Linked DNA regions of Pelodiscus sinensis. The protein of the gene in region 2 binds, or shares a complex with, the protein of the main gene of each other region. Links are inferred from orthologs where the notes say so. Each region holds a gene or a part of one and is shown on either strand. Other genes may lie near its edges.

What was found.
Region 1: the proteins of TUBGCP6 (region 2) and TUBGCP4 are in contact, whole or in part, in a cryo-EM structure (PDB 7QJE), measured with the Homo sapiens proteins. The link is inferred for Pelodiscus sinensis from reciprocal best matches to the Homo sapiens genes TUBGCP6 and TUBGCP4. Residues at the interface, in NP_065194.3 of Homo sapiens: Leu312, Thr313, Ala315, Gly316, Arg317, Ala319, Phe320, Phe323, Leu326, His327, Glu349, Pro390, Glu391, Ser392, Ser395, Leu396, Glu399, Tyr403, Ser455, Leu456, Leu457, Thr458, Gly460, Phe461, Lys464, Lys465, Arg468, Arg471, Tyr472, Glu475; in NP_001273343.1 of Homo sapiens: Met1, Ile2, His3, Glu4, Leu6, Leu7, Ser10, Gly11, Tyr12, Pro13, Gly14, Ser15, Ile16, Gln29, Phe31, Pro32, Phe33, Leu34, His35, Pro36, Glu38, Thr56, Ile59, Glu60, Thr63, Val66, Gln67, Gln68, Ile84, Arg87.
Region 3: the proteins of TUBGCP6 (region 2) and MZT1 are in contact, whole or in part, in a crystal structure (PDB 6M33), measured with the Homo sapiens proteins. The link is inferred for Pelodiscus sinensis from reciprocal best matches to the Homo sapiens genes TUBGCP6 and MZT1. Residues at the interface, in NP_065194.3 of Homo sapiens: Met1, Ala2, Ile4, Leu7, Phe8, Asp10, Leu11, Cys12, Ala14, Leu15, Pro17, Ala33, Leu37, Val40, Ala41, Ala44, Leu45, Asn48, Ile70, Leu73, Lys85, Arg88, Leu89, Leu92, Val93, Glu95, Leu96, Leu104, Leu105, Ser109; in NP_001065243.1 of Homo sapiens: Asn17, Ala20, Val21, Thr24, Val27, Leu28, Glu30, Ile31, Ser32, Ile34, Leu35, Asn36, Thr37, Leu39, Glu42, Thr43, Leu44, Ile46, Cys47, Arg49, Leu50, Cys51, Glu52, Gln53, Ile55, Asn56, Pro57, Glu58, Ala59, Leu60.

The regions. Positions count from the first base shown.
Region 1 is NW_027465934.1:450,046-459,922, forward strand, and holds the start of TUBGCP4 (gamma-tubulin complex component 4), read right to left. Parts: upstream 5,016-9,877; 5' UTR 4,643-5,015; coding exon 4,565-4,642; intron 3,970-4,564; coding exon 3,841-3,969; intron 2,391-3,840; coding exon 2,268-2,390; intron 1,197-2,267; coding exon 1,143-1,196; intron 226-1,142; coding exon 169-225; intron 1-168. Other genes in the region: uncharacterized protein LOC142825186, read right to left, coding at 8,557-9,877. UniProt on the Homo sapiens protein: Component of the gamma-tubulin ring complex (gTuRC) which mediates microtubule nucleation.
Region 2 is NC_134711.1:37,234,876-37,244,752, forward strand, and holds the start of TUBGCP6 (gamma-tubulin complex component 6), read right to left. Parts: upstream 6,565-9,877; 5' UTR 6,250-6,564; intron 4,979-6,249; 5' UTR 4,895-4,978; coding exon 4,148-4,894; intron 3,083-4,147; coding exon 2,919-3,082; intron 1-2,918. UniProt on the Homo sapiens protein: Component of the gamma-tubulin ring complex (gTuRC) which mediates microtubule nucleation.
Region 3 is NC_134711.1:269,168,128-269,178,004, reverse strand, and holds the start of MZT1 (mitotic-spindle organizing protein 1), read right to left. Parts: upstream 6,349-9,877; 5' UTR 6,217-6,348; coding exon 6,168-6,216; intron 2,814-6,167; coding exon 2,668-2,813; intron 2,015-2,667; coding exon 1,991-2,014; 3' UTR 1-1,990. UniProt on the Homo sapiens protein: Required for the recruitment and the assembly of the gamma-tubulin ring complex (gTuRC) at the centrosome.

The DNA.
Region 1 (9,877 bases), on a different chromosome or scaffold from region 2:
AAGAAAGATACAAAGTCTGAAAAGAAAAACTGTTTCCTGAGGAGCATCATCTGCATATTTCCTTCAGGCTCTGTCAAATATCTGGTGATACTCAGATCATTTTAACTAAAGGAAATGGACATAAACAACAGATTCTACTAAGGAGAATCCAGCTCCCACTTACTATACCTTCTGGGTCTTGATCTGCTCCACCACAACCATCACCGAGGGGAAGAGGAGTTGGAACTGCAAAGCAAAGAACAAGATGTAAAATTAGACGAAGTACTCCTACGTGAAGAGGGAACGTTTGGGGCTAGTACAGACAGCAGCTAATTGTAGTGGTTTACCAGTCTATCACCTCACTGGCCCCACTTCGTGTTTTGGATATACTTGGAAGGGAGACCATGGCTTCTGCATAGAGATGAGATGATTATACCAGGATAAGGTGATGCTACTTTACCCTAATGTCAACAACTAGAGGTGAGGCTTATCTCGAGATTCTCTGGTCACTGTCTAAGGCTGTAACGGATGACAAGAGTTGTGCCAATGTGCTGAAAGTACTCTCTAGCTGCTGCTGAAGTTGCTCAAGATGATAAATTGAGAAGACTCCAATTTGAGGATAGGAAGAGTCACACTGGCTTCCCTCCTGTTTTGCAGCTAAACTGTAAATGGGACTTTTGGAGGCAGACAGAAACTGATGGATGGTTCAAGGGGGAGCTATTTACATTCCTGACAAGGCAGTGATGCTTGCCTCCGCAACTGACAGTCAAGAAGATTCTGTCAGGTAGGCACATCACCCCAACAGTTGTGCTCCATGGTGAAAAAGTCATTAAAAAAACCAAACTGGTTTGTAGTCTGAGAGCTAGAGCTGTTTAAAAATCAAGTGCAGGCTATAGCTTTCTGATATTTCTTAAATGTGATACATACTATCAGCTATTTCAATTTTGCACGAAGATGGAAATTGGAAACGAAAATTTATTTTTTACATGTACTACTATCCTATATATTAAGGCAAAAGATGGCACTAATACAATTTTAAGGCTCAGAAGTTAAGTGTACAAACATCAGCAATTCAGAATATAAAGTTCTAGTAACAATGGTAGCTCTGCAACACTGCGCATGTTATATATGCCCATAGTAAGGTGACAACAAATGCAATATACCTGATCCAGGGAGTAGTTAATGTGAGAAATGGAGAGGTGAGGGTCAGCCAGGAACTGTAACAAAAGTTAATGCAAAGCAAAATAAGTCTCTAATCAATAGCACTAAACCTAGGTGTAAAAAGGTAAAGAGCAAAATGAACCCTCAGATGCTTTGGAAAAAAGTCCCAGTAACCTTACCAGAGTAGGGATGTTAGTGGGTAGTCAAGCGGAGTACTTGACTACTCACTCCCTTCCCCCCAAACCCCACTTGCTGCCTTTGTATGGGAGGCGGGGGAGGGGAAGAGGCAGGAGCCAGCTCAAAAGCTGGTTTCCCTTCAGCACCATCTCTGCTGTGCTGCCTCCCTACCCTGCTGCTTTTAATCCGGGGGGGGGGAGGGGGGAATTAGGAGGCTGTTCTGGCAGCACCAGTTCACAGTAGCCAAGGTTGACCACGGCCAGGGGCTGCTGCCAGCTCACACTAGTCTAGGATGCTGTGCCTCTGCATTTTAAATGTAGTAAGAGCTCCATGGCTCTTAAAATGCAGAGGTGCAGTGCAGATGGCCCCCAGAGGCCCCAGGAACTACCCCCACCGGGACTCTGCATAGTGGCCCTTTACAAATATCACACAATTAGTCGGTATCGACTACACAATCAGCCAGACAACTGCAATTTAACATGCTTAGCTGAGAGACTTTTGAGTTACATCCCCCCGCAGGCTGTTACTTATGATGCAGCCCGTTTAATTCACTTTCAGTGACTCAAAGTGAATCTACACAAGAGATGACGTGATGCCTACCAGCTTGGTTGATGCACCATGGATTTAACCAAGGGCCTTAACAGCTATACAATGAGTCTCTACAGCTTGGCCTGAGGGACGAGGATCTGAGGACTGAGACATTTTCACTCTCTGTAGGTCAGACATGTGGAGGGAGGGGGTGAAGGAGCAAAGAATGGACATGTAACACACTGACCAGTGGGTTATAATGGAACTTCACAGCAGCAATTTAGAAAATATCCGCAGTGGAAATCAAAGATTCCATCCCATCGTCTGCTTCTTGTTAGCTTATTTGTTATTGGAGACAAGCTTCCACTGCATGGTATTTCAGCTCATAACACTGAACAAGTTCTTCCAGTTCTCTCCCTTACCTCCTGCTCCAGGTCAAGCAACGCCTGTCGATAGGGCTGCAGCACTGAATCGAGCCCTGTACAGAAGGCCCGCAAATAAATCCCATGTAATCCACATAGATTCTGCTGGGAAGGATGATGGTCCTAAAAAATCAAATAGTTTTGCATTAGCCGTAGGACATTGGTGAGTGAACTGGGGACTGTGGCCCAGATACCTGAGATATTTAGGAACTTACCTTCTATTAATTTCAGTCTTCAGCTAGGGATGTAAAATCCTGTTTAAATTAGTTAACTGGTTAAATGTTAACCGGTTAAACTTAACTGAGTAAACACGGGTGGGCTGGAGCACCCTGTGCTGGGCTGGGAATCAGCAGCCTTACATGGGGCTGGCAGCTCATATGAGCGGGCAGCCATGGGGCCTGCTCCTGAGTAACAGTTAACTGTTATCCAGTAAGCATCACCCATTAACGGCGATAGGGGCTTTTTTGCGGAAAAGAGCGTCTAGATTGGCATGGACACTTTTCTGCAAAAAGTGCTTTTGCAGAAAAGCGTCCATGCCAATCTAGACGCTCTGTTCCAAAAATGCTTTTAACGGAAAACTTTTCCGTTAAAAGCATTTCCAGAAAATCATGCCAGTCTAGACGTAGCCTTATAGTTTTAGCCTTCACTGAAGGTACCATTAAAATCAACTGTTAATCAGACATGAGTCAGCTGTCAAAGATGGAGCAGTATTGTATTCAGTCCCTTTGGATATACAAATAAGGAACTCTTGAGATAGAAGACTGCATAATACAGTGGCCATTTGTAAATTTCACTGTTCCATTGTGCTGAAGTGAACTGTTCACAAATGTATCTTAATCCATTTTACAGACATCCCTAAGAACATAAGAATGACCAGCCTGGGTCAGACAGACCAAAGGTCCATCTAGCTCAGAATCCTGTCCGCCAACAATGGCCTTCAGGTGCCCCAGAGGGAACAAACAGAACAAAATCATCAAGTGATCCTTCCTCTGTCGCCAATTCCTAGACTCTGACAAACAGAGGTTAGGGACACCATTCTCACCCATCCCGGCTAATAAGCATTGACAGACCTAACCTCCATGAATCAATCTAACTCTTTTTGAACACTTTTAAAGTCCTGGGGTTCGTTTAGACTGTATTCCTCTCTCGAAAGAGAAATGCAAATGAAGGAGATAAAAAATTCAAATGAAATGCGGATTTGCAAATTTTGCAGTTCATTTGCACTCATGTGAGTGCGCTTTTTCAAAAAAAAACTGCACTTTTTTTTTCTTCCCAAAGAGCAGCCTCTGTGAGTGGTGGGTCCCTTGTGGGGCTGGCGCATCCCCCAACCTCTAGCCGACAGGGAGCTGCTCCAGCCGGCTGAGGACCATGCTGACAGTGACCCAAGGGACCTCTCACAGCCCTGCTTTCTCCCGCCAGATCTTGCTGCAGCCACGGTGGAATGGGGCTGTGCACCGCCCCCGCAAACCGCTGTCACTGCATCGCTGAAGGGGCCTGCGCCGGGCGCCTCTGGGCAAGAGCCGCTCACGAAGCGTAGCGCTGGCCCGGCCCCGCCGGCAGCCCCCCGGCCCACCTGCTGCTGCACGTGGCCCGTGTACTGCTCGATGAACTCGGTGAAGCGGATGTAGTCGGTGCCCAGGCGGCAGAGGCGGCTCAGAACACTGCTCTCGCTGGGGTGCAGGAACGGTAGCTCCTGGGACACCTGCGGGGAGCGGGGCCGGGTGAGCGCGGGGCCGGCGGGAGGGGGGGACCGCACCTGCGGGGGGAGGGAGGAGGGAGGGGGGGCCGCCCCTGCAGGGGGAGGGGCGGAGGAGGAGGGAGAGGGGGGGCCGCCCCTGCAGGGGGGGAGGAGGGGGGAGGGGGGGCCGCCCCTGCAGGGGGAGGGGCGGAGGAGGAGGGAGAGGGGGGGCCGCCCCTGCAGGGGGGGAGGGGGGGGGCCCCTGCAGGGGGGGAGAGGGGGGGCCGCCCCTGCAGGGGGGGAGGGCGGAGGAGGAGGGAGAGGGGGGGCCGTCCCTGCAGGGGGGGAGGGGGGGGGGCCGCCCCTGCAGGGGGAGGGGCGGAGGAGGAGGGAGAGGGGGGGCCGCCCCTGCAGGGGGGGAGGGGGGGGCCCCTGCAGGGGGGGAGAGGGGGGGCCGCCCCTGCAGGGGGGGAGGGGGGGGGCCCCTGCAGGGGGGGAGAGGGGGGGGCCGCCCCTGCAGGGGGGGGGGGCGGAGGAGGAGGGAGAGGGGGGGCCGCCCCTGCAGGGGGAGAGGAGGGAGAGGGGGGCCGCCCCTGCAGGGAGAAGGGGGGAGCCGTACCTGCAGGCCGCTCCTCTTGCTCCAGGTGAAGGCAGCCCCGGGGTACCCGCTCAGCGCCAGGAGCAGCTCGTGAATCATCCTGCAGCTAGGAGCGGGCTCCCGCAAAGGCCCCTGGGACCTGTAGTCCCGCTCCTCGCACAGCCCGACGGGAGCGGCTGCTCCCGCAAAGGCCCCTGGGACCTGTAGTCCCGCTCCTCGCACAGCCCGACGGGAGCGAGGCCCCAGGCGTGCGGGGGCGCTCTCGGGCCGGTCGCCTGCCCAGCTCGTGCTCTGCAGCCCCCCGGCCCGGGCCCGGTCTCTCGTCCCGGGGGCAGCGCCCCGCCTGCCCTGCGCCGCGCGAGGACCGTCTCTTTCTTTCGCTCGGAGCGGCCTCGGTTCCCGCTTCGCAAAGGGCCCGCGGCCCCGCCCCGCCCCGCCCGGAGCCAGACCCCGCCCCGAGCCAGACCTCGCCTGGCCCCGCCCCGCCCCGAGCCAGACCTCGCCTGGCCCCGGCCCCGAGCCAGACCTCGCCCGGCCCCGCCCCCGCCCGGCCCCGAGCCAGACCTCGCCTGGCCCCGCCCCGCCCCGAGCCAGACCTCGCCTGGCTCCGCCCCGGCCCCGAGCCAGACCTCGCCTGGCCCCGCCCCCGCCCCGCCCGGCCCCGACCCAGACCTCGCCTGGCCCCGCCCCCGCCCCGCCCGGCCCCGAGCCAGACCTCGCCTGGCCCCGCCCCCGCCCCGAGCCAGACCTCGCCTGGCCCCGCCCCGCCCCGAGCCAGACCTCGCCTGGCCCCGCCCCCGCCCCGCCCGGCCCCGACCCAGACCTCGCCTGGCCCCGCCCCGGCCCCGAGCCAGACCTCGCCTGGCCCCGCCCGGCCCCGACCCAGACCTCGCCTGGCCCCGCCCCCGCCCCGAGCCAGACCTCGCCTGGCCCCGCCCCGCCCCGAGCCAGACCTCGCCTGGCCCCGCCCCCGCCCCGCCCGGCCCCGACCCAGACCTCGCCTGGCCCCGCCCCCGCCCGGCCCCGACCCAGACCTCGCCTGGCCCCGCCCCCGCCCCGAGCCAGACCTCGCCTGGCCCCGCCCCGAGCCAGACCTCGCCTGGCCCCGCCCCCGCCCCGAGCCAGACCTCGCCTGGCCCCGCCCCGAGCCAGACCTCGCCTGGCCCCGCCCCGCCCCGCCCAACAGACTGAGCGCGGGCCCCGAAACGGCCCCTCAGAGATTGAAGCGGGCCCCGGGTCTGGTTACCGGCCAGTGCTCGAGCGCGGAGCGATCCCCCCCCCCCCCGAAGGGCCCTGGGGCAGCGCTGTTCCGCGGGCGGGGCGATTTGTAAGCACGAGAGGCAGAGCTGAGACTCGCCCAGCGCTGCCCTGAGGCGGGGCCGCTGTGGAGTCTTTGTGCTGAAGCTCGGTGCAGCGCTGCTCTTCGGAAGTGTCTGGGGCTGCACTTTTCTACCCAAGAAGCGAGGCTCAGGGAGTGGAGTTTTGAGGGAATTGTCTCTGCCTAGGAACTGGAATATTGCCATTACGCACTGTGGCTGCCTCTAGACTGGCAGGATTTTGCGCAAATACTTTTAACAGAAAAGTTTTTACATTAAAAGTATGTGCGCAAGAGAGCGTCTACACTGGCACAGGTGCGTTTGCGCAAAAGCATCCGGGCCAGTGTAGACGCTCTCTTGCGCAAGAAAGCTCTGATGGCCATTTTAGCCATCGGGCTTTCTTGCGCAAGAAATTAACTTGCCTGTCTACACTGGCCCTCTTGCGCAAGAATACTTGTGCAAAAGGGCTTATCCCTGAGCGGGAGCGTCAAAGTATTTGTGCAAGAACCACTGATTTGGTACAGTACAAAGTCATTGTTCTTGCGCAAATACTCGTGGCCAGTGTAGACAGGCAGCAAGATTTTGCGCAAAATCTTGCCAGTTTAGACGCACCCTGTTACTAGCTGAATTCATTTACAAGACAACACTGTAACTTCAGTAAAGTATTTAATGCCAGCAGTGTGCTCTGTACTGTATTTTACATAAAAGTCAGTCTCTGCTCCCTAAGAGCTTACAGCCAAAACCACGGAGACGGAGAAGATGGTTTTACAGAGCTGGGAGTAACTATTTTTCATGTATAGACATTTATTGTCGGTACCAGGAAAGAAGTCACTTGTCTTAAAGACAAGTTAGCAAGATGCTACCTCTGAGTTTTTCCTCTCTTCAGATTCAACACTCATTTTCTCAAGATGTGTATGATTTTCATGGGAACTTGAAGTTAATTTAAGACCTGAACTGACTACCAAACAGCTAACAGGTAATTTTTTTTCCTCATTTGGTTTGGGTTGTTTCTCTGTCAGTAGACTTTTTTTTCTTATTAATCTGATTAAACAAACACTGAGTATTGAGATTTACAAATCCATTGCTGCTTGGTGTATTGTAAGGTTTCACAACCCTAGCCTACATCCAAGTTTCAAGTGTTGTCTAGCATCCCACTGAGTATTACTGTTAAGATTTGTAATGCATTGTGACAGTCCACTGAATATCAAACATGCAATTAATTGACACAAATATAGAGGCTCATTGGGCAGGAAATGTTCATTTTAGAAAGAATCACAATATAGAAGTATATTTTCTATTTTATGGGTGAATGAGATTTTACCAGAAAGAACACATTAGTCCTAAACTCAGACTGCTCCTTCAGCTTTGGGGCATACAGTCCCATTCTGTTATCTTGGACACTTACTGGACCAACTTTTTGTTTATCAACAGTTTTCTGTGCAAAGACAATTATTTGCTATCATCTTATTCTGATGTTTTAAGTCTTTTCAGTTTTCTTAATTGGAATCAGGGTTTGCAAAAAAGAGTCACTGAAGAGAAAACAGCTCAGTGTGCTCCAGTGATCAAAAAGGCTAACAGCATGGTAGGAACTGTGAGGAAAAGGATAGAAAATAAGACAGAAAATATAATGCCACTATATAAGTCAATAGTGTATTTATTTCTTGCGTATTGGGTTCATTTCTGGTGGTTCTATCTGAAAAAAATATAGTGGAACTGGAAAAGATTTAGAGAAGGGCAACAAAAACGATCAAAGGTTTGGAACAGCTTCCACATAAAAAGAGGCTAAAAGGTTTAGAGCTGTTCAGCTTAGAAAAGAGACAACTAAGAGGGGATATGAGAAAGGTTTATAAAATCATGAATGTTGAATGTGACTGGATGTATCAGACCCTGAGGTCCCCTGCTGAAGCCTACCACACCCTGCCCCAAAAAGGGAGCAGTGCTAGTATGGTATAGAAAGGAACTGAAAGGGAGCATCCAATCAGGAAGAGGATGCAAACTAATTAGCTGTAGCTGAAACAAAATACAGGACTATGTAGCACTTTAAAGACTAACAAGATGGTTTATTAGATGATGAGCTTTCGTGGGCCAGACCCACTTCCTCAGATCAAATAGTGGAAGAAAATAGTCACAACCATATATACCAAAGGATACAATTTTAAAAAAATGAACACACATGAAAAGGACAAATCACATTACAGAACAGAAGGGGGATTTGGGGGGGGGGGAAAGGAAGGTGAATGCCAGTGAGTTAATGATATTAGAGGTGGGGAAGGGGAAATGTCTGTGAGTTAATAGAATTAGAGGTGATAATTGGGGAAGCTGTCTTTGTAATGTGTAAGATAGCCGGGGTCTTTGTGAAGTCCGGTGCGGAGAGTGTCGAATTTTAGCATGAATGCCAGTTCAGAGGATTCCCTTTCAAGTGCAGATTTGAATGTCTTCTGAAGTAGGATGCAGGTCAGCAGGTCATTGAGACTGTGTCCTTTCTGGTTGAAATGACAAGCAACTGTTTTTTCTTTGTGATCCTGTCTAATGTCTGTTTTGTGGGCATTGATTCTTTGGCGAAGTGTCTGAGACGTTTGTCCAATGTACATAGCAGACGGACACTTTCGGCACATGATAGCATAGATTATATTTCTGGAGGCGCAGGAATATGTATTCTTGATCTTGTAACTCACTTGGTTAGGCCCAATAATGGTGTCAGCAGAGTGAATATGTGGACAAACAAACTTTCCCTTTGTTGCAAGGGAAAGTACCAGGGTTGGTATTAGTGTGGTATGTCCTGTGGTTGTTGGTAAGAATCATCTTGAGATTAGGTGGTTGTCTATAGGAGACTATGGGTCTGTCTCCCAGAGCTTCTTGGAGTTTAGTGTCCTGTTCCAGTATAGGCTGTAATCTATTGATAATGTGTTGGACAGGTATAAGTTGGGAGCTGTAGGTGATGACAAGTGGTGTTCTATTGTTGGTTTTCTTGGGTCTGTCTTGTAGTAGATGGTTTCTAGGTATTCGTTTGGCTCTTTCAATTTGCTTTTTTATTTCTCCAGGTGGGTAGTTGAGGTTTATAAATGCTTGGTAGAGATCCTGAAGTTTCTGGCCTCTGTCTGTGGAATTTGAGCAGATGCGGTTGTATCGAAGGGCTTGGCTATAGATGATGGATCGTATGGTGTGTGCTGGATGGGAGCTGGAAGCATGTAGGTAACTGTATGAGTCAGTGGGTTTTCTGTAGAGGGTGGTGTCTAATTTTCCATTGTTGATTTGTACTGTGGTGTCCAGGAAATGGATCTCTCGTGTGGAATGGTCCAGGCCGAGGTTAATGGTGGGGTGTAGGTTGTTGAAATCTCTGTGGAATGTCTCCAGTGTTTCTTGGCCATGCGTCCAGATCATAAAGATGTCATCGATGTAGCGTAAGTAGAGAAGGGGTAAAAGGGGACGGGAGTTGAGGAAACGTTGTTCTAGGTCAGCCATAAAGATATTAGCAGACTGTGGGGCCATGCGTGTACCCATGGCTGTGCCGCTGATCTGGAGGTATAAGTTGTTCTCAAACTGGAAATAATTGTGGGTGAGAACGAAGTTACATAGGTCTGCTACCAGGTTGGCAGTGGTGTCCTCTGGGATAGTGTTTCTAATAGCTTGTAATCCGTCTTCATGTGGGATGTTGGTGTATAGTGCTTCTACATCCATGGTGGCAAGGATGGTGTTATTGGGGAGGTTATCGATGTTTTGTAGTTTCCTTAGGAAGTCAGTAGTGTCTCGGAGATAGCTGGGGGTGTTGGTTGCGTAGGGTTTGAGGAGAGAGTCTACATAGCTGGATAGACCAGTAGTGAGTGTGCCAATACCAGAGATGATGGGGCATCCGGGGTGTCCAGGTTTATGGATCTTGGGAAGCAGATAGAAAAATCCTGGTCGGGGGTCGGAAGGTGTTTCTGTGTGGATTTGTTCCCGAGTAGCTGTAGGGAGGCTTTTAAGGAGACAGAGTAATTTCTTTTGGTATTCCGAGGTAGGATCAGAGGAGAGAGGTTTG
Region 2 (9,877 bases):
GTCAAAGGGAGATCACTCTCCCTTTGACATCCCTTACTCCTTGTGGAAGCAGGAATACCGGCATCGACCAGAGTGTCCCTCTCAGTTCGAATTAGTGTGTCTTCTCTAGACCTGCTAATTCGAACCCTGGAAGATTGACAGTAGCAGCTTCGATCTTCTCTGTAGTGTAGACATAGCCATAGGAAGACACAGTTCATGCCCTTTGTGACCCCCCTGCTGGGCATGCTCTAACTGTAGGCCCAGTATAAAAGCCAGAGGAGCAGCTCAGTTGGGGCTGACCATGTGAGAGGAAGGAGCTTCTGCCGGAACCAAGGAGCAGCCACCCCCACTGGCCCAGCAACAGCAGCCGTAGCAACTGTGGCAAGCAGCCAGGAGGACGCAGGTGGGGAATACTCCGGCTAGAGGACCGGCATAGGAACTAGCCCAGAGCAGGGAGCTGGAGGTGTCCCGGCGAGCTCAGCGTATTTTGGGTAAGGATGTTAAGTGTCGGGTAATTCACTAATCGAATAGTCGATGCATTTTTGCATTGACTATTTGATTAGTCGATAGGGTGGTGCTGCTCCTTTGAAATGCTGCTGCAGTGTTTCAAAGGGGCAGCACCGCATGGCACCTGGGGTCAGCTGGGGACTCCAGTTGATCCTGGCGCTGCCCCTTTGAAACGCCACTGCGGCATTTCAAAAGAGCAGCACTGTATGGAACCCAGAACCCCAGGCTCCGTGCGGCACTGCTGCTTTAAACTATCCCTCTCTTCCACTCCCCCCTTTCTCTATCTAATAGAGGCAGCAGGAGGTGGGAGGGGGGGCGGGGAGAGACTAGTCAGCTATCCCAGAGGGGGTGGACCGAAGACAATGATCAAGTGATTTGTCTCATGCCATCCATCTCCAGCCTCTGACCAACAGAGGCCAGGGACACCATTTCTATCCCCTGGTTAATAGCCTTTTATGGACTTCCATGAAATTATCTAGCTTCTCTTTAAACTCTGTTATAGTCTTAGCCTTCACAGCCTCCTCTGGCAAGGAGCTCCACAGGTTGACTACACGCTGTGTGAAGAACTTTCTTTTATTAGTTTTAAACCTGCTACCCATTAATTTCATTTGGTGCCCTCTAGTTCCTCTATTATGGGAACTAATAAATAACTTTTCTTTATTTGCCCTCTCCACATCACTCATGATTTTATATACAGGCAGTCCCCGACTTACGCTGATCCGACTTATGTCGGATCCGCACTTACGAACGGGGCTTTTCTCGCCCCGGAGCTCACGGGCGGCGGGTTGCCACCCGTGTCCTCTGGGGAGAGAAAAGCTTCTCCCGGTCTCCCTGGTCTGCTGGACCCCCCCACCAGACCAGGGACACCCAAGCAAAGCCGCCCAGGCAGCGGGACTCCCGCCGCCTGGGCGGCTTTGCTCCTGTCCCCCTGGTCTGCTGGGGGGGGTCCAGCGGCTTTGCTGGACCCCCCCAGCAGACTAGGGGGATAGGAGCAAAGCCACGGAGCACGCCCGCAGCGGGACAGCCCAAGTGCGCCCGGGTTGTCCCGCTGCGGGCATGCTCTAAGGCATTGCTCCTGTCCCCCTGGTCTGCTGGGGGGGGGGGAGGATGCAGCTAGTGCCACCCTCCCAGCAGACCAGGCTTTTCTTGCCTACCCCTGGGGTAGAGCAGCTGGGGGCTGCCGGGTTGGTCCCGCAGCGCCGCTCCGGACCAACCCGGCAGCACCCCAGCTGCTCTGCCCCAGGCGTCCTGATTCAGCCGCTGCTGGTCAGTTTTAGCAGCGGCTGAATCAGGACGCCTGGGGCAGAGCAGCTGGGGTGCTGCTGGGTTGCTCCAGTAGCGCTGAGGAGCCGCGCTACTGGAGCAACCCAGCAGCACCCCAGCTGCTCTGCCCCAGGCGTCCCCAAGTCAGCCGCTGCTGAAACTGACCAGCAGCTGACTACAGGAAGCCCGAGGCAGAGTTGCTCTGCCCCAGGCTTCCTGGAATCAGCCGCTGATCAGTTTCAGCAGCAGCTGACTTGGGGACGACTGGGTTTCTTAAGCTGAATCTGTATGTAAGTCAGAACTGGCATCCACATTCAGCTGCAGTTGAAACTGATCAGTTTCAGCAGCGGCTGACGCCAGTTCCGACTTACATACAGATTCAACTTAAGAACAAACCTACAGTCCCTATCTTGTACGTAACCCGGGGACTGCCTGTACCTCTATCATATCCCCCCTCAGTCTCCTCTTTTCTAAACTGAAAAGTCCCAGTCGCTTTAACCTCTTTTCATATGGGACCCGTTCCAAACCCCTAATCATTTTAGTTGTCCTTTTCTGAACCCTTTCTAAGGCCAAAATATCTTTTTTGAGGTGAGGAGACCATATCTGTACACAATATTCAAGATGTGGGCATACCATAGTTTTATACCATAGTCATAGTTTTATACAGAATAAGATATTCTGTGTCTTATTTTCTATCCCTTTCTTAATAATTCCTAACATCCTATTTGCCTTTTTGACCACTGCTGCACACTGTGTGGAAGTTTTCAGAGAACTATCTACGATAACACCAAGATCTCTTTCCTGATTTGTCGTAGCCAAATTAGCCCCCATCATACTGTACGTATACTTGAGGTTATTTTTTCCAATGTGCATTACTTTACACTTATCCACATTAAATTTCATTTGCCATTTTGTTGCCCAATCACTCAGTTTGGTGAGATCTTTTTGAAGTTCTTTACAGTCTGCTTCTGTCTTGACTATCTTAAACTTGACTGTACTGTCATCTGGCAAAAATACAGCTCCATTGTTCAAATATATTGAACTCCATGTCCCAAATCAGACAGAATAAACAAACAAGGAATATACCAATTAAAGTCACTTACAACTAAAATACTTATAAATCATACATAAGCATGCAGTTATTTTGCATCTTAACATCAGACACATACCATCCAATTCTTTCCCAGCATCTTCGTTTGCTGGGTCCATAAGTAAGTACAGCATCCCAGAGATCTATGTCTGGAGTCATGCTCGGTTCTGACTGAGAATCAGGAGTAAGATTGGATGCTGATTGGAATCCCTCATCTTCTGATTGATCTATACTTTGAGGAACCTGTAAATAATCATGAGAGTTCAAACTCTACACACAGATGCAACATTTACTGAGAAAATTATGCTAATGGCATTTAGATGTTGGTCTCAAATAATTATTGATGTTCATTTTAAGCACTTGAGCTTCATTATTTATACAAACTAAAATTTTGCTATGTGTTTCTATGGATGGGTATCTTTTGCTTTTTGAATTTTCAGTCTTTCTTTTTTTCCTCTTGTGGACTGTTGCTGTGTAGTTTTTTTTCCCCTGCCCCTGTAATTATCCCATGTAATAGAAAAGGCTACATGCTACTTAGTGTGAAGTTGGTCCAGTAGCAATTCCCTTCCCTGGGGCTCTGTATGCTCTTGCCTATTGAGCTGAGTGTGGTGGGAATAGGGGCATAGAGTAGGAGGCTGCTCCCTGAATCTACAGCCCTATACAAAGAAATTGCAGATTCAGCTTTCATTTGGGTTTAAGATAGGAACTTGAAAGGAAGACTGGCACACTTAAAGAGCTACATTGCCACTTTACCTGTAGCTGTGAGTATCCATTGTAGTGAAAGGGATCAGTCAGATACTGGGTAAAAGGAGGCAACTCTTTTTCTTTACATGCCTGTACTCCTACTCTCAGGTTGGAAAACACAGTGCTAAATATTCTTAGGAGCAACCCTGCATCCAATAGGTCAAATCTATTACATATACCTATTACATGTATGTTGCACAACAAATTCATAACAAAGTCAGTGAGAGTTCCATGGTTGAGATGTTCAGAGTTTTACATGATTGGGCCCTGATCCTGCAAAATCAGGCATGTGTTTATGCATATGACTAGTCTTAGTGGAAATGGTAAGAGACACATTAATCATAAGAATTTGAGGGATCAAGACCTGTGTCACTTATTTTGTGAAAAAGAAAAAATATTTTAAATCCACACCTTTGTAATGTTGATACAACTACCAGAAATTTCTCTCTCTCTCTCTCTCTCTCTATATATATATATATACACACATTTCAAAAAAAGAATACTTGAAATGTTTATATTCTGAAATAAAATAATAAGTATAGTGAAAATAAATAGACCCCGTACTTTAATTGCAAGTCCAGACAAATCCGCATTGTCAGGTACTGGTGGCAGATCCAACCTAATGTCCATATCATATGTACGGCTATGGACAAGAGCACCAAAGAGTGAGACACGTGTTTCTTTTTCAAACTTGTCACCAACAGGGTAGTTCTGTGAAAATAATCCAATGGCAGGAAGTCCAGTGCCAGGTGCAGCCTCCATTATCTGAAGTGTCTTTTGAATTGTATCATTAAACTGATATTCTTCATTTGTAATTAAAGACTGTATATCAGCTTCAAATACACTCACATCATAATAATCATATCCCTGATATTTAACATTTCTCCCAACATACTTGTTGTTCAGAAAATAGTCCTTTTTTTGTGGTAGAAGCTGAGGGGGACCAGTTCCTACAAGTTGTACAAGAAGATCCAGAACAGAATTTACTTCAGTAAATGGTAAACAATTAGATGTTTCCAATTCCTCCACAAGTTTCTCCAGCCTATCTGCTTGAGCACCCATTCCACCAACCCTCAAATTGAAGGACAGCATTAAAATTTTGTTTTTCACTGGAAGTCTGGAAATGTTTGACTGTACTTTACGGGTCTCATCCTGAAAAAGGTTCATGAACAGGGCATTATATGCAATCTTTTTTAGATTTTGCTTAGCCCTTTTCTTGCTGATCTTCTGTGCGCCTAGATGGACCTTCCATGACAAACCTGTCATGTGTGCTTCACACAAGTCACCAAACAGCTGTGTAATGCTCTCCATTTCAACACAAATGAGTGGTGCTGCAGTAAAGTCAATTTATTGCATATACAACTTTATTTTTGGTCTTTGATTCCATTTCAAGGCCTGGAACATACAAAGGGGGAAAAAGACATTAGTAACTAACTACACAAGTAGAACCTCAGTAAGTATGTGTTCATAAACTTTAAATTTAAAATACAGTTACTGTAACACATACAGTGTTACATACACAAACTAATCAAAGTACTACTTCATAAACTGTTTCATATACAAGAACACCTACCTACTGCTTAACTGTTTTAACCATTTATATAAGCAACTGCTGCCTGACCTGCTGCAACAGGTATGAGGTCCTACCACTGGTTTCACTATGGCCAGGGGGTTCCACCTCCTGGCTTGATGATGGCCCCTCCAGAGCTGGCTCAGCATGGTGCGGTTGGTTGCCACTAGAGTTCACTGGCAAGGGCTGGTTAACCAGTAAGCAATCCACTAAGCCTCATGCTTGCCATTTAACATCCCCGTAAACACCCTAATTTGGATCTCACACCTTTCACCAAGGTTAGCCCCTGGTGGACCACCAGACACTATTTACTTGCATGTCCAAAGATTAGGGCCACTTACAGTGCCCACTGTTTGGAAATGACAGTCCGTGGTCAATGGGAGCTGTGGGAAGAGGTGTCTTGGTCTATACTGCTTCTGGCAATTCCCATTGTACGGGAACGGCAATCTGAAGCCAATGGGAGCTGCAAGCAGCCATACTTGCAGATGCACAAGTAAATAAAGCATTGGCAGCCCCCCCAGGGGCTATCCCTAATGAACAGCTTGCAGCCTGTGGGCCACTTATTAACCACTCCTGTTTTACACATAGAGAAAAAGCCCTGCCATGGTACATGAACAAATCCAGGTCATCACATGAAGAGAGTGTTTCTCTGTCAAGCACTAGCACCTCCCAGTGTCTTGTCAATACTAACCTGTCAGGAAAGACCCCCCCCCCCCAACAACTTGATTAACAAAGGTAACTTTCAGCAGCAAGCTCAGCTCCATTTACAGTGTCAAAAAGGTGTGAGCGCAAAATTATTCCAGCCACGGTCACAGTTTGAGAGCTAGTGTAGACAGAGCTGGGGCGATTGTACCAGTCGCTAAAAGCAGGAGCAGACCACACAACCGTAAGAACAGCAGCGCCCAGCCCAGCCCGGCTCCGCGGCCACCACCCGAAGATGTGCAGCCCCCCCCCCCCCCCAACAGTGACTGTGAGCCGAGCCAGACCACGCTCCCCCCGTGACTGGCCCCCTCCCCCAACGGGGGCAGGCCCCACCCTGCAACACCCGAGGCAGCCCGCAGCTCCCCGCGCGTGACGCCCCCGCCCCAGCCCTTACCCCGCGCTCAGCAGCCCCAGGCGCCTCTCAGGGCCGCGACAGCAGCGACCGCCGCGCGTCCCGCTCTCCGGCTCCGGCAAGAGCGCGGCGGCGCCGCCCTCGGGACGTCACGGGAGAGCGACGGGCCCGGCAGCCGGGAGGGGGAGAGCGGGGCAGGGACGCGGAGCGGGCGGCGCTCGGCTCCCTTCGCGGGTGCACGGGGGCGCCGGAGGAGGGGGGCAGGGGCTCGCCTTGCTGCCTAGCGCTGGAAAGTGTGGGGCGGCTGCGAAGGGCGGGGCGGCTTGCGCGGAGCAGACAGGGAGCTGCAGGCGCAGTAGATACACGGGCGGCGCCTGCCTGCAGCGTGCCCGCCAGCGCCTCTCCAGCCTCCCCCAGCTAGCTGCCCAGGGCTGTAGGGCCCACTGACTCGGGGGGGGGCTGGTTGTAGGGTTGCCAACAACGGTCTAATCCCACAAACCCAAACACCCTGCCCCTGCCCCCTTTCCTGTGAGGGGCCATTTACTCCGCCCGTCCCTTCATTTCTCGTTTCGCCCCCCTCACCAGGCCACGGGAAAAGGTTGCAGTATGAAGGGGCTCTGAGCGGAAGCCCGGGGGCTCGCAGTGCGGGAAGGAGAGCTGGGCTGAAGCCTGGGGTAGCGGGTTAGGGTGCAGGAGATGAGGGTCTGGGTTCAGGGCTGGAGAAGGGGTTTCAGGTGTGAGGTACTGGCTGAATCAGGAGGTTGTGGCGTTGAGGGGATTTGGGGGGCAGGAAGGGGGTTGGGGTGCTGGAAGTAGTGAAGGGTGCAGGTTCTGGCCAGGTGGTACCTTATGTTGCTCCCAGTTGGTGGGGGGGGGGGGGGCAGGTGGCACCATGCACTGCCCTCAACTACTAGTGGCTGTGGTTCCCAGCTAATAGCTGCAGAATTGGCACTTGGAGTGGGAACATCATGCAGATGCACCCCTGGCATGCAAAGGTTCTGAGAGCAGAGCAGGCAGGGAGTCTGGCTCAGCCCCTTCTCTTCGTCACACACCCCTGGACTTCTGGTGCCCTGAAATCTTTCAGTCTGGCTTCAGTAGCCTCTGAGAGAGAGGCCCACTTCTGAGAGACCCCAAATGAAATTGGGCAGGGTGGAGGACAGGGAGTTGCCACTGCCTCTTTCCTCTGGAGCCATTCCGGAGTGCTGGCTCCAACAGCACCTGCTGCTCTTCTGTCCTCCCTAGGAAGCAGAGGCCAGTTACTGCAGATAACTAGACGTTTAACCAGACTTGCTGGTTGTAAACTGGACACCTGGTAACCCTATTCTGGCATGGCAGTGGGGAGCACAGGCCATTGGCTGCACAGATCACTCTGCTGCACCCCCCCCTCCACTCCACCCCACACACACCAAGGGACAGGCATGTTCCAGAAACACCCCAGGATCCTGTCCCTCAGCACCAGGTGACAGGTCAGGCCAGCAGGATCCAGGTGTAGGGTAACAAGGTTGTGTGGGGGATCCAGGTGCAAGGGGTAGTTGGTTGTTGTGGGGTTCTGCAAAAGGTGCAGATGAAGGTGGTTGGAGCTCATCCGGAGTCTCTGTATGTTGTTTTGGCTCACCTTATTGATAATTTTATATCAATACCGTAAATTGGATTTTCCTTTCAAACTAAAGTAGGTGTTTTATTTTTAGTTTGATTGCTATTATTGCATTACACTTTTTAGCATTTACACTTCCAATATATTTTTGTGTAGACCAAGTTATAGTAAAGAATGCCACTGGAAGACAGTTAATGTACAGAAATAAACAATTTTTATTGTAATAGTTGGCTAATACATATCAACCTTTAAAAACAATCTTTTGAATTTATATGCAAAGTAATCCTACTGAAAAAATCGTACTTGAAAATATTCCATTTAGTTTGATAAAGAGCTCAAATTAAAATAATTTAAAATACAAAAATCTTTGTGTCATTCTAGCATTGACTACAGAATATTACAATTTAATGAAGGCAGGCTGGAAGTATAACTTCAGCAAAATGTTTTTGCCATCAGAAAATGCTGACCATGTAAAACATTTTGTAAGGAGATGGTTGGTTTAGACAAATTTACCATTTTTGGGGAAAAAATGAAATTAGTTTTGAAATTTGAAACTATTTAATTTTTCAATTAAAATAACTTTTTGTTTAGAAATTTAAGTTTCTGTATAGTTTTAAAAAGTCAAAATAAAAAGTAAATGTTTCAGTTGACCTGGTATGAATTTTTTGGTTCATGAGAATCAGATTTTGAATTTTCATCCCAATTTGGGACAGTAAAAGTTTTCAAAATCTCAAAAGCTCTCACAGTATGGAAAACTGCTTCCTTCTGACCTCCAGTCAAAATTCAGTATGAGCTACAGAAGCCAAAATAGGACTAGTTATATGGTGACCCATATTAATAGAACATTACTACAATTTAAAGTTGTGATATTCAGATTGTTTTGACGTAAGTACTGTTACATGTTGTGTTCCCACATGGGCCCCAATCTTGCAATCTATATACTTAATTTTAAGCATATGAGTAGTTGTTTTAGGTAGAATTTTCAAAAGCAGCTAAATCAAAGAGAAGCCTAAGCAACTTATGAGTAGGGCTACTCATAAATTTTCAGTAAAGGATGAGTCACGAGACCAAACCATTTTGTTAAATGTGTTGCATATTTGGCAAAACTTCAATAAAACACAATTAGAGCCTCGGGCTCTAAGGCTCCCTTCTCCATAGCAGGGAGCACGCTAACCCTGGGAGTCTGGCTGGGGCTGAGGCTTTCAGAGCTGGCTAGTCTCTTCCTTCTGTGGCTCAGCTCTTGATAACCTTATTTTTGACTTGAGCAAGTTAAACATGGATGAAAGATCACATATAAAATATCTACCATGTATTTCAATCCAAGTGACAGGAATAGACTTCGTAGAGATAAGTAAAAAAAGGCACTGCTTTATATTTTGGGATCTGGAATTAATACCCTGAGCTCATTTTGTTAGATGCATTAGTTTTACGCTGACAACTGAGCTATGTCACCACATAAACGTAGCTATTTTTATACATTTTCAAATGTTCACCTTGTTCATTGTGCTTAATCATGATAAAATATTAATATTCCTATATGTAGAAAACATACAATCTCTCCATTGCTTGGAAGATTAAAATAGTTCTTAGTAAAGCGCTTTATTTTTAAAACTGATATTTATTCTTTTAATTACTTCTTTTTTTATCATTTACAGACCCTACTAATTTCCAATCTTAATTGGGAGAGTGAAGAATGAAAAACAAAGTTCCTGTTAACAAACTACTTTTAAAATTATGAATATTTCAGTATGAGCTAGATACCACAAATTTACAGCATTCAACCATTGGAATTCATATAGAAAGATGCTGGGTATGGCAAGAGAATTAATATGGTAAATGCTATCCCGGATAGAACATGCATTTAAAAGCAGCAAAATCATTTGATAGGGAGTTACATGTAAATGCAGGTTTTGCATGAATAACTTCATACATGCACAATTTGCAGACTCACAGCAAGAGCTCTCAGCTAAAAATGTGGCCTTTTTAAACAAAAATATTTAATAAAAAGTCATAACACAATTGTAAATGGCTGTGGCCATAGTATGATAATCTCTTCGTTTACTGATTTAAAAGAAA
Region 3 (9,877 bases), about 230 Mb from region 2:
CTTTTGCAAGAGGAAGTGAGGCAGTACCACTATCCCACTCTTTTTGCAGACAGAACAAAAATCAAAGTGCCCTCAGGAATGACAGCCTCTCCCTGGAATATATGCTTAGGTAACTAGATAGCAAAATGCAAAGAGATGGAGATGGGCAAGAACATTATCTGCATGACCTTCATACTTCTGTTGTTTTTGCTATCCTGTTGCAAACTGATGTGACATCACTCAGTTACACAAACGATTTAACTGTAATTTTTCTGTGGCTCCCCAATGATTAGCTATGCATTTTTTTTTACTTTCTTTTTGCCATTCATCACCAAAAACGCTACAAAACATAACATTACACTGTAAAAATATGAAAAAACAATTCTGAAAGTATGATTTTACTTTGACAACTCAAAATACTTTAGAAAATTTAAACAAGTTCACATTTACAATTTTCACCGATATGCACCATTATAATTAGCATGCACTACTATAGTTAACTTTCCCAGATTTAATACAGAAACGTCTTATTTTATACAAGTAAAAAGCCAAAAACATCATATTAACAGGAAACAAAATTAATGTAAAACTATGCAGATCACCATTCATATGTTAAATATGCATTGATTTTGTCTATAACAGGGTTGTCAAACATTTGGCCTCCTTGATGCATTTCTGTGACTCGTGTCCTACTGAGATTATACAGAACCTAATATTGTTTTCTGTTTTCAGATTGCAAAAACAGTCTTCCAAATGTAAGTCAATACAGCATCATCCTCTCAAGTCTGCAGAGAACCTGAAACAATAAATCAGAAGTGTGATATCTGTTCTCTATTAATGTGGGTTGGGATGAATTTAAACCCCATAATGAAATCTCATCAGCACTAATTATTTCAATAGATAAAATGGGGGGAAAGAGTGGGAATTATTGAAGGGAAAAATGAAGAAAAAAGGATAGAAAGAGAAATAAAGGGGAGAAATTGTAGTTCTCCTGTGTGTGAGTATATTTTCTTTCTGCGTGATAATGAATGCTAAAATGATAACCAAAAATGTAGTTACTATATAGTCTAATTGAGGGGAGTAAACAGTCCTATATTCACTGACCATAAATACAAACGGAATGTGGCCCTTCCTTAATCAGTTTGACATCTCCGTTCTATCCTTTGACTAGGATAAAGATAATAAATATTCCATGAGCATTTTTGTGATCTGTAATGGCCAGGATATAAATCTAACTAAAGCACTAATGAAGTCAATAAGATGTTCCATACAATGCGTAAGAGATTATGGAATTCAACTATACACTAATTTAAATGTATGATAACTGCTTGCAGACAATCTTTTTTTTTTAAATAAATATTTAGTTATAAAAAAACACAAACTACCAAAATCATAAGTTTCCATTTGAAATATGAAGCATTTTTTTTTTAAATTAAAGAAGGAAACATGCTCACATTATTTTTCTCTGCTCTCGGATTAAAAACAAAAATCAGAAAGTATTTAAATTATAGCCTATACATACAAAATGGTGTCTGAAGTTGAATGCCAAGTTTCAGACCAATGGAAAATAAACTTCTCAGTCCATTATGCATTAGCCATTTAAAATTAAGAGTTTATAATAAGTCTCTGAATACGTTCTCTCTATCATATAGATTAAGTGACTAAATTTCACTAAACTTGTAGATTTAGTCAGTCAACAAGCAATATTTGACAGACTGTTTATAAAAGTAAAGCTCAGGTTTATAAGGAATACATAATAATGCTAAAAACTACAGTCTGTAAAACAAGGACAAAACAAACAATGAATAATATTAGATAAGTCATATGCCTTTTCACTTTTCTATAAAGCCTTACACTTTTATATTTCATCCTTTTATAAAAAAAAGATTACAGATTTTTTTTTGAAACCTGAATATACAGGAACTTGATTCTATATTTCTGAATAGCAGCCAGTCTTCAAACCTCTGTTAGCTTGACATTTCTCTCATCAAAAAGATCCTCTCCCATGAAGTCAACTTGTCATATTTTCAGCAGCCTAGAAAGATAAGTATAATTCATTATAATAAACTGAGAATAGATACTGTGGAGCTAAAAATCAGGAATAACACTTATGGTTATTTCTTGCAACTACTTTTATTTTGTTAATAATGTTTAAATAATTTGTAGAAAATAAATCACGTGATATTTAATCTTAATACGCTGCTTAAATGGCTCTTTTATTGAATATTTTCATTTTAACAATTTCTCACTCTCACTATCCTTCTTTTATTAATTTATCCATCACTTGACAAAATATGACACAAGGATGCCAAGTATATAATTCTGTCAAGGACCTGTAGTCTGGACTTTTTGCACTGACTCATGCAGGTGGTGTTCAGATTAGGGCATGTTTCACTACAGACCCATGCACAGTCATGTGGTTACACCAACTTGTCAAGTTGTAAACAACAACAAAAAGGCTTTGTCTACACTACTGGTTTGCTATCTGCAGATTCCATGCTTTGGACCAAATGCAATTAGCAATAAAGAAAGAAGGCAACAGGATTTATTTCCTAAGATTATTTTATTTTATTTGAAATGCAAGGGAAATGTAAAATTCCATATGACAAGTTGAAAATGCAGTAATCTGAAATTCGATTTGCATTAATTTAAAAAAGACAGCTGCATGTTTTTCATAAACTGCCTTACCTTTAGTGCTTCTGTAGCCTTGCGTAGTTCTTTAATTACTGAAGATAAGGCCTCTGGGTTTATACCTTGCTCACACAACCGTACACATATAGACAGGGTTTCCATATCCAAACCAGTGTTTAATATTCTTGAAATTTCAAGCAGAACTGCGACAATTTTAAAAAAATTAAAATTGCTTTGTTAGATAAAAGTTTAAATAAGATTATTAAAATCATTTATTTTTTAAGAGTGGGATTTTCAAAAGCTGAAACTCTGTGGATGGTGACAATGGAAACACTGCACATTTCCCTCCATCCCCTCGTTTGAATCCCAACTGTAACATTTATAATCACCTTCCCTATGTGAGTCAGCAGTCTCAGTCTTCAAACTCAGATACACATTTACATTCTCTACTCTGTGATTCTCCATTCACTGAATCAGTATGTTATTTGTTTATTATTCCTGTTAAAATAGTTAACATGTCCACAGACTACAGTAATATTTAGTTTGTAGTCTGTAATTTTAAAACATTCTAAAATTGTAATAATAATTCAAATCTTTGCTCATTAAGTGGAAGGTAGGAAAGAAAACAGGAACAAATGAATGATTATAACAATATCATTTTGTATTACACTGATAGAAATGTAGCCGTGTTAGTCTGGTGTAGCTGAAACAAAATACAGGACTATGTAGCACTTTAAAGACTAACAAGATGGTTTATTAGATGATGAGCTTTCGTGGGCCAGACCCACTTCCTCAGATCAAATAATGGAAGAAAATAAATAGTCTCAACCATATATACCAAAGGATACAATTAAAAAAAATGAACACATATGAAAAGGACAAATCACATTTCAGAACAGAAGGGGTATGCGGGGGGAGGGGGCGGAGGGGGAGGGAGGGAAGGAAGGTGAATGCCTGTGAGTTAATGGTATTAGAGGTGATAATTGGGGAAGCTATCTTTGTAATGGGTAAGATAGCTGGGGTCTTTGTTCAGCCCCCTGCGGAGAGTGTCGAATTTTATCATGAATGCCAGTTCAGAGGATTCCCTTTCAAGTGCAGATTTGAAAGTCTTCTGAAGTAGGATGCAGGTGATTAGGTCATTGAGACAGTGTCCTTTCTGGTTGAAATGGCAAGCAACTGTTTTTTCTTTGTGATCCTGTCTAATGTCTGTTTTGTGGGCATTGATTCTTTGGCGAAGTGTCTGAGACGTTTGTCCAATGTACATAGCAGACGGACACTTTCGGCACATGATAGCATAGATTATATTTCTGGAGGCGCAGGAATATGTATTCTTGATTTTATAACTCACTTGGTTAGGCCCAATAATGGTGTCAGCAGAGTGAATATGTGGACAAAGCTGGCAACGCTGCTGCAGCCCAAGTAGCAGAGCTGGGGATGTGGCAGTCGAGGTAGTGGGCAGGGGCTAGAGATATGGCATCCACAATAGTGGGGCTGGAGAAACAGCAGCCTCAGTAGTGGGGCCGGGACAAACTGGGCTGCAGCAGTGTGGCTAGGGCCAGCAGTACGGATGGAATGGGATCTGGGGAGCTGGTAGCAGGGGACTTCCTCTGCTCCGGCAAATTCTCTCATTTGGGACTGATTAGGTCCCAAAGGTGCAGGAACGGGGAGGTCCAAACTGTACTCCGTTTCAAAGCTCTAATTATTATAGAGCAATTCAAGGTTTAGTTTTCAGCAAGACTCCCTGACAACACTAATTTATTTATATTAAAAAAATATTACTCATGTTTCTATAATCACAAAGAAACAAAGATTTCCAAAAAGGGACATAGAAATGCTATTTCACTGCTTCCAACTTTCTGCAAAGTCAGCAAATGGCTGGCCTGATACTTAATGTACTAACCTTGACATGATATATAGCTCATAAATACATAAAGTGTTTTTCTGTGGTACAAATTTATTGCATATTGAAAAAAATAAGGCTTTTTAAATAAAAAAAAGCTTTAATAAATAGGATCACCCACACATATAAAAAGGCCATTATGTTCAACTTTAGGCACTCATTTTTAGGAGTCTATATCCATAAATAGGAACCTGGAAGGTGGCCTAATTTTCAGAGGTGCAAAGGACCCAGAAGACCCCAAAGTCAATGAAACCTGCCAACTGTTGACACCTTTTGAATTTTGAGTTCTATTGACACGTTCTCCTTGACTAACTTATGTGGCTGCAATCTGTGATGAAAAACTGGAAAATACTGCAGTATATTTTGAAGTCAGAACACTACATTTAACTTTTAAAATCAGCTTTTAGTACGTATTTCCTGGGCATACACAATTTCTGATTATTTTGTTCTAATGGATTTTTTTTAAAATGGGAAAGTAGTGTTCCATAGTTTCAGCAGCCTGTCCATTGGGAGCTCGGACCCACCGTGGACAAGGGCTGCTGCCACCCCTCATTGCTGTCTCTGTATCAGAGACAGCTGCATGAGATAACAGGCAGCCATTCTGTGTGGAGAGCTGTTTTTTAAACTGGCTCTCCTCGCAGACCGGCTTCGCGAAAGAAGCCAGTTTAAATACAGAGGCAGCAGTCCTGGAAGTCTGGCCCTGCCCTGGGGACGACAGAATAGTCGACTTAATCACTAAGAGTTCATGTGGTTAGTCGCCTGTTCTATTACACGTATCTAACATCCCTCGTCCATAGCACTGAGCCTATGCATACTACACCGCCAAACAGATATTTTCATCATAACAATAATAAAAAATCTTGGTACTTTACAGTTTTCTGTTTTCATGTCAATATTTACATCCTGTTCCCCATCCCTCAAAAAAAAAAAGTTTAGAGATCTATTTGATTAAGGAAATGTACTTCCATGTTTAATTTGTGGACATTACAAACAGGAAGACAATAAATAAAGGAAAGAATATTCAATTATTTTGCTACATCTTACAACTGGAAAGGGGAAAGTAATTTATCACAAATGTTCGCTTTCGTGCAACATTAACGCCCAGTTCTACATTGAGAAGTGACTTTGAAAAAAAAAATCGTCAGATCCCACACGTATTGGATTGTCATGGCCCCACCCCTTCCGCCCGCGGCAGCCAAGGGCCATTTCAAAAATCTGAGACGTGGCCCCCGCTTCTAGAATTATTGCCCATCCCATAATAGACTAGTGGTTGTACCCACTCGCCCAAGTTGCACACACGTAGCCGAGAGCGTCACTTCATTTAAGAGAGGGAGTCAAACCCGGGGAGCCCTCCCGGGGAGAAATGCCGCGCTCTCCGGAGCACCCGGCTCGCCCGAGGAAAAGTCACTTTCGCGCTGTTTTTTCCCCGAACGTGGCGTTCTCGGAGCAGCCCGCAGGAGCCACTGCCGCGCTTCCTCCCCGGCCCGGGCAATGCCCCCGCGCCGCGACCCCGGGCAGGGCCTCAATTGCAGGCTCCGGCAACATCCCTACACTCCGGGCGCCGCCGCCACAGAGCGCGCGATAGGAAGCGGGGCGCCCTGTATTAGGCCCGTGTGCAACCGGGCACCTGAAGCGACCGCAGCCCCCCCGGACTCACCGTCCATCGTTTCTCTCACCGCGTTCAAATTGGCTGCGCTGCTCGCCATAGCGACAGGAGACTAGGCGCGAGACCTCTAACCCGGAAGGAAACTGGCTCCTTCTCATTCTCATTCACACACGGGCACGCCAGCAGCGAAACCTCTCCGCGCGCGCGGCTGCTCGCCCTTGATTGGCCTGCTCTGTCACCCTGAAGCCCCGCCCCGCTTGACTGACTCCGCCCGCCGTGATGTTTTGAATAGCTCAGTCTCCCTTACAACTGGAGAGATGTAAGGGGGGAGGAGGTACCCGTTCGAATTTGTGAAGCGGACCGGTGCTGATTGGTCGGTTCGAGAGTGAAGGCGAGCCGCGGTTGGCTGGGCTTGAGCGCCGGCGCGCGACGATTGGGCAGCCGCGGTGAAAGGGGGCGTGGCAGTTAAAGCGCTTCCTCGCTTGTCGTCCTCCCCCCCCAGCACAGGCTGAGCGCGGACGCGAGAGGAAGCAGGAGTTTAGCCATGCAGACGCCGGAGTGAGGCATGAAAGCGGCGAGGGGTGCCCGGCGCTGCCCGGCCCAACGGCGGCTGCACAGGGACCCGCGGCTGTGACAGGCCGAATCCCGCGAGCACCGAGCCTGTCGTTAACTCGGGCCCCGAGCTTGCGGGGCGCGCGGTGCCTCTGCTGGCGCTCGCGGCTCGCCTGGCGGGCTCCGCCACGCTGGTGCTTTCCCAGGGAGCCGGTGGCGGAGCGGATAAGGCTGTGAGTTTCCCGCTAGAGCCCGGGCTATCCGCGGGGCGGAGGGAGGGGAGCAGAGGGTTGTTGTGAGACGAGAGACCTCGGGCTTGATGATCGAATGGTCCTTTATGGTCATAAACTCCAGGGCATTTATTTTGCCCCAGTTCTAGCCTCAAAATGCCGGTAAATAAACGTAAGTAAACAAGGGGTGACCGTCAATGGGGGCTTCGGATATACTGGCCAGGAAAGGTCCTTCCAGGAAATCACATGCCTACAGAACCGGAGTAAATCCCTGGTAGGAAAGTCAAATTTTCCTCTTTCTTAGGGTAAAGAAACATTATTCTCTAACTTATACATAGTTGTTAAATCATTCAAAGGTTTTAATAAGTTTTCTGTAACAGATGAGTACCTGCCTGGCTATCTCAAACTTCTGCTTCTCAATTCCTGCTGTCTGACTTGCTCTACTTTCCTGTTACTTCCTCCTCTGTCCACTTTTCTGATTTTCCTTTTTCTGAAATACCATACCTTCTTTCAAGTGTCTTGTCTCTCTCTTTTACTTAATCATAAAGTATTTCACTTACATTACAAGATAATTTTAAGATTATCTTCTCTGTGTGAAGCAACTTTTTGAATGCTACCTGCAAGTTTTTAATGCTTTCAGAAATACTTCAGTAAAATAAGAGCTGCATTATTGCCAGTTGGTCTTTCCTTTCTGTCTCTGCCCTTTCTCTTGGCTTTGTTCTGATTAATTATCATAATCACATACTTAAAGAATAGAATACAAATTGGAATGTATCAAGCATTTTGCATGTCTTCTACAATTTCAAATATATTGATTTTGGGTATGCAGAATACAAAGTGTATGGCATTCATTGTTTATATTATTTTATTACAATATTTGCCTTGTGAAAATGATAAATAAAAGAAATAGTATTTTCCAGTTCACCTCATGTAAGTACTGCAGTGCAATATCTTTCTCCTGAAAGCGTAATTCACAAATGCAGACTTCTTTTTTACATAATTGTGCTAAAAATGAAACAATTTAAAATTTTAGAGCCTACAAATCCACTCATTCCTAAGACACAACTTAATGCTTTCCACTTCTTATTGGAGTTCACATGCTGCTTTTGTAGCTGGCATTGCAAGGTAAATATGCTAAACCAGTAGTTTTTAAACTTTTTTTTCTCATGACCTGGTTGCAGAAAATGTTTGATGCCCATGACCCAGCATAATTTCACTAAAGCCGTGGTGTCCAACACACTAGCTACTAGAGGCTATTTGTCCAGTTGAGTGTGGCTAGTTTGCTATAGCAGTAGCCTTCATAGTGACTGCTGCTTCAGAACTGGTGTAACACCACTGGGATGGGAGTGTGGGCTGTGGGGCTAAGGATGAGAGCTTTGAAGTGTAGGAAGGGGTTCCAGCTTTTGAGGGGGTCAGGGCTGGTGCAAAAGGGGCTTACCTTGAATAGCTCCTGGTCAGTGGTTCAGGCGGAGTGCTAACACAGGCTTCCTGCCTCTCCTGGCACTGCAGACCATGCTGTGCCCCATTAAAAGATGGCTCCCAGCTGAGGGGAGTGTGGAGCTAATACTCGGAGCAGTATACAGAGGCCTGTGTGCTTTCTTTCCCCTCCACATAGGAGCTGGGCCTGCTGCGGTACAGTGCAGTCTGCAGTTAGGAGAGGCAAGGAGCCTGCCTTAGCATCACTGCTGGTCACTTGATCACTCTGTAGCAAAGAAACCCAGTGCTCAACATTCCACAACACAGTACTGGTCCCGACCTGTAGTTTGAAAACCACTGTGCTAAATATTGGCATACCCCTTCATGCTTTGGCTGCCATTCCAGAGGCCATGCTTCCATGCTGATGGTGGCTATTAAACAAATTACATGTGTGACTGAACTCCTTTCAGGATAATTGTACCGTATATACCGGCGTACAAGATGACTTTTGATGTTAAAAAAATCCCCCAAAAATCTGGGGTCGTCTTATATGCCGGTTATACAGGCGGCAGGGCATCCCAGGCACGCCTGGGCTGCCCCGCCGCCGGCTTCCCCCAAGGCTTTGCAAAGCCTCGGAGGGGCTCCGGCGGCGGGGCAGCCCAGGCGCGCCTGGGATACCCCCCCCCCCCGCCGGCTTCCCCCGAGGCTTTGCAAAGCCGCGGAGGGGCTCCGGCGGCGGCTTCCCCCGAGGCTTTGCAAAGCCGCGGAGGGGCTCCGGCGGCGGGGCAGCCCAGGCGCGCCTGGGCTGTCCCGCTGCCAGGCATCCTCAGAGGCTTTGCTCCCGGTGTCCCTGGTCTGCTGGGGACCGTCTCCAGCAGACCAGGGACACCAGGAGCAAAGGAGGCGGAGGGGCGCTGGGGTATAAGACGAAACCCTATCTTTTAACTAAAAAATTAGGGGGTCGTCTTATACGCCGGAAAATACGGTATGTCTCCTGCTCTATTTTACCATCATTTTGCCATACATATTATAGTAGTCTTGGATGAGAACCCAGCGTATATTGGACATTTAAAGAATATTTTCACTTGCAGATTTGACAAAATGCAAAGAAGGTTCCAATGTGTGACTTCTAAAGATGCAGTAACTTCTTGCGTAATGTTGTAGTTGTATTCCCTGCTGCTGTAAGCGAAATTATGTGAAGCAAATCCAATTTCCCCATAAAATTAATGTCAATAGGGAGAGTTAGGTTCTAGGGAAACTTTTTTTCAGGGATAAAAGACAATATAGACATATTCCATATACATTTTAAACAATTGAATACTGTACATAGGAATGATTATTGTGAAACATGATTGAGGTGATGGAGTAAGGAATGGAATATTTCCTACAAGAATGACTTCCTACTAAATGATTAACAAGCATTTTGCTGAGCCCTCAAGGATTATTAATTGTTAAGGTAGCCTCACATTCTAAAAGGGTGCAGGGGCTGAGGTAAGAAACACAAAAGATGCATGGCAGTGGCTGTATACGCTTCTATGAACATGAAGATGAATCAAAGCTATT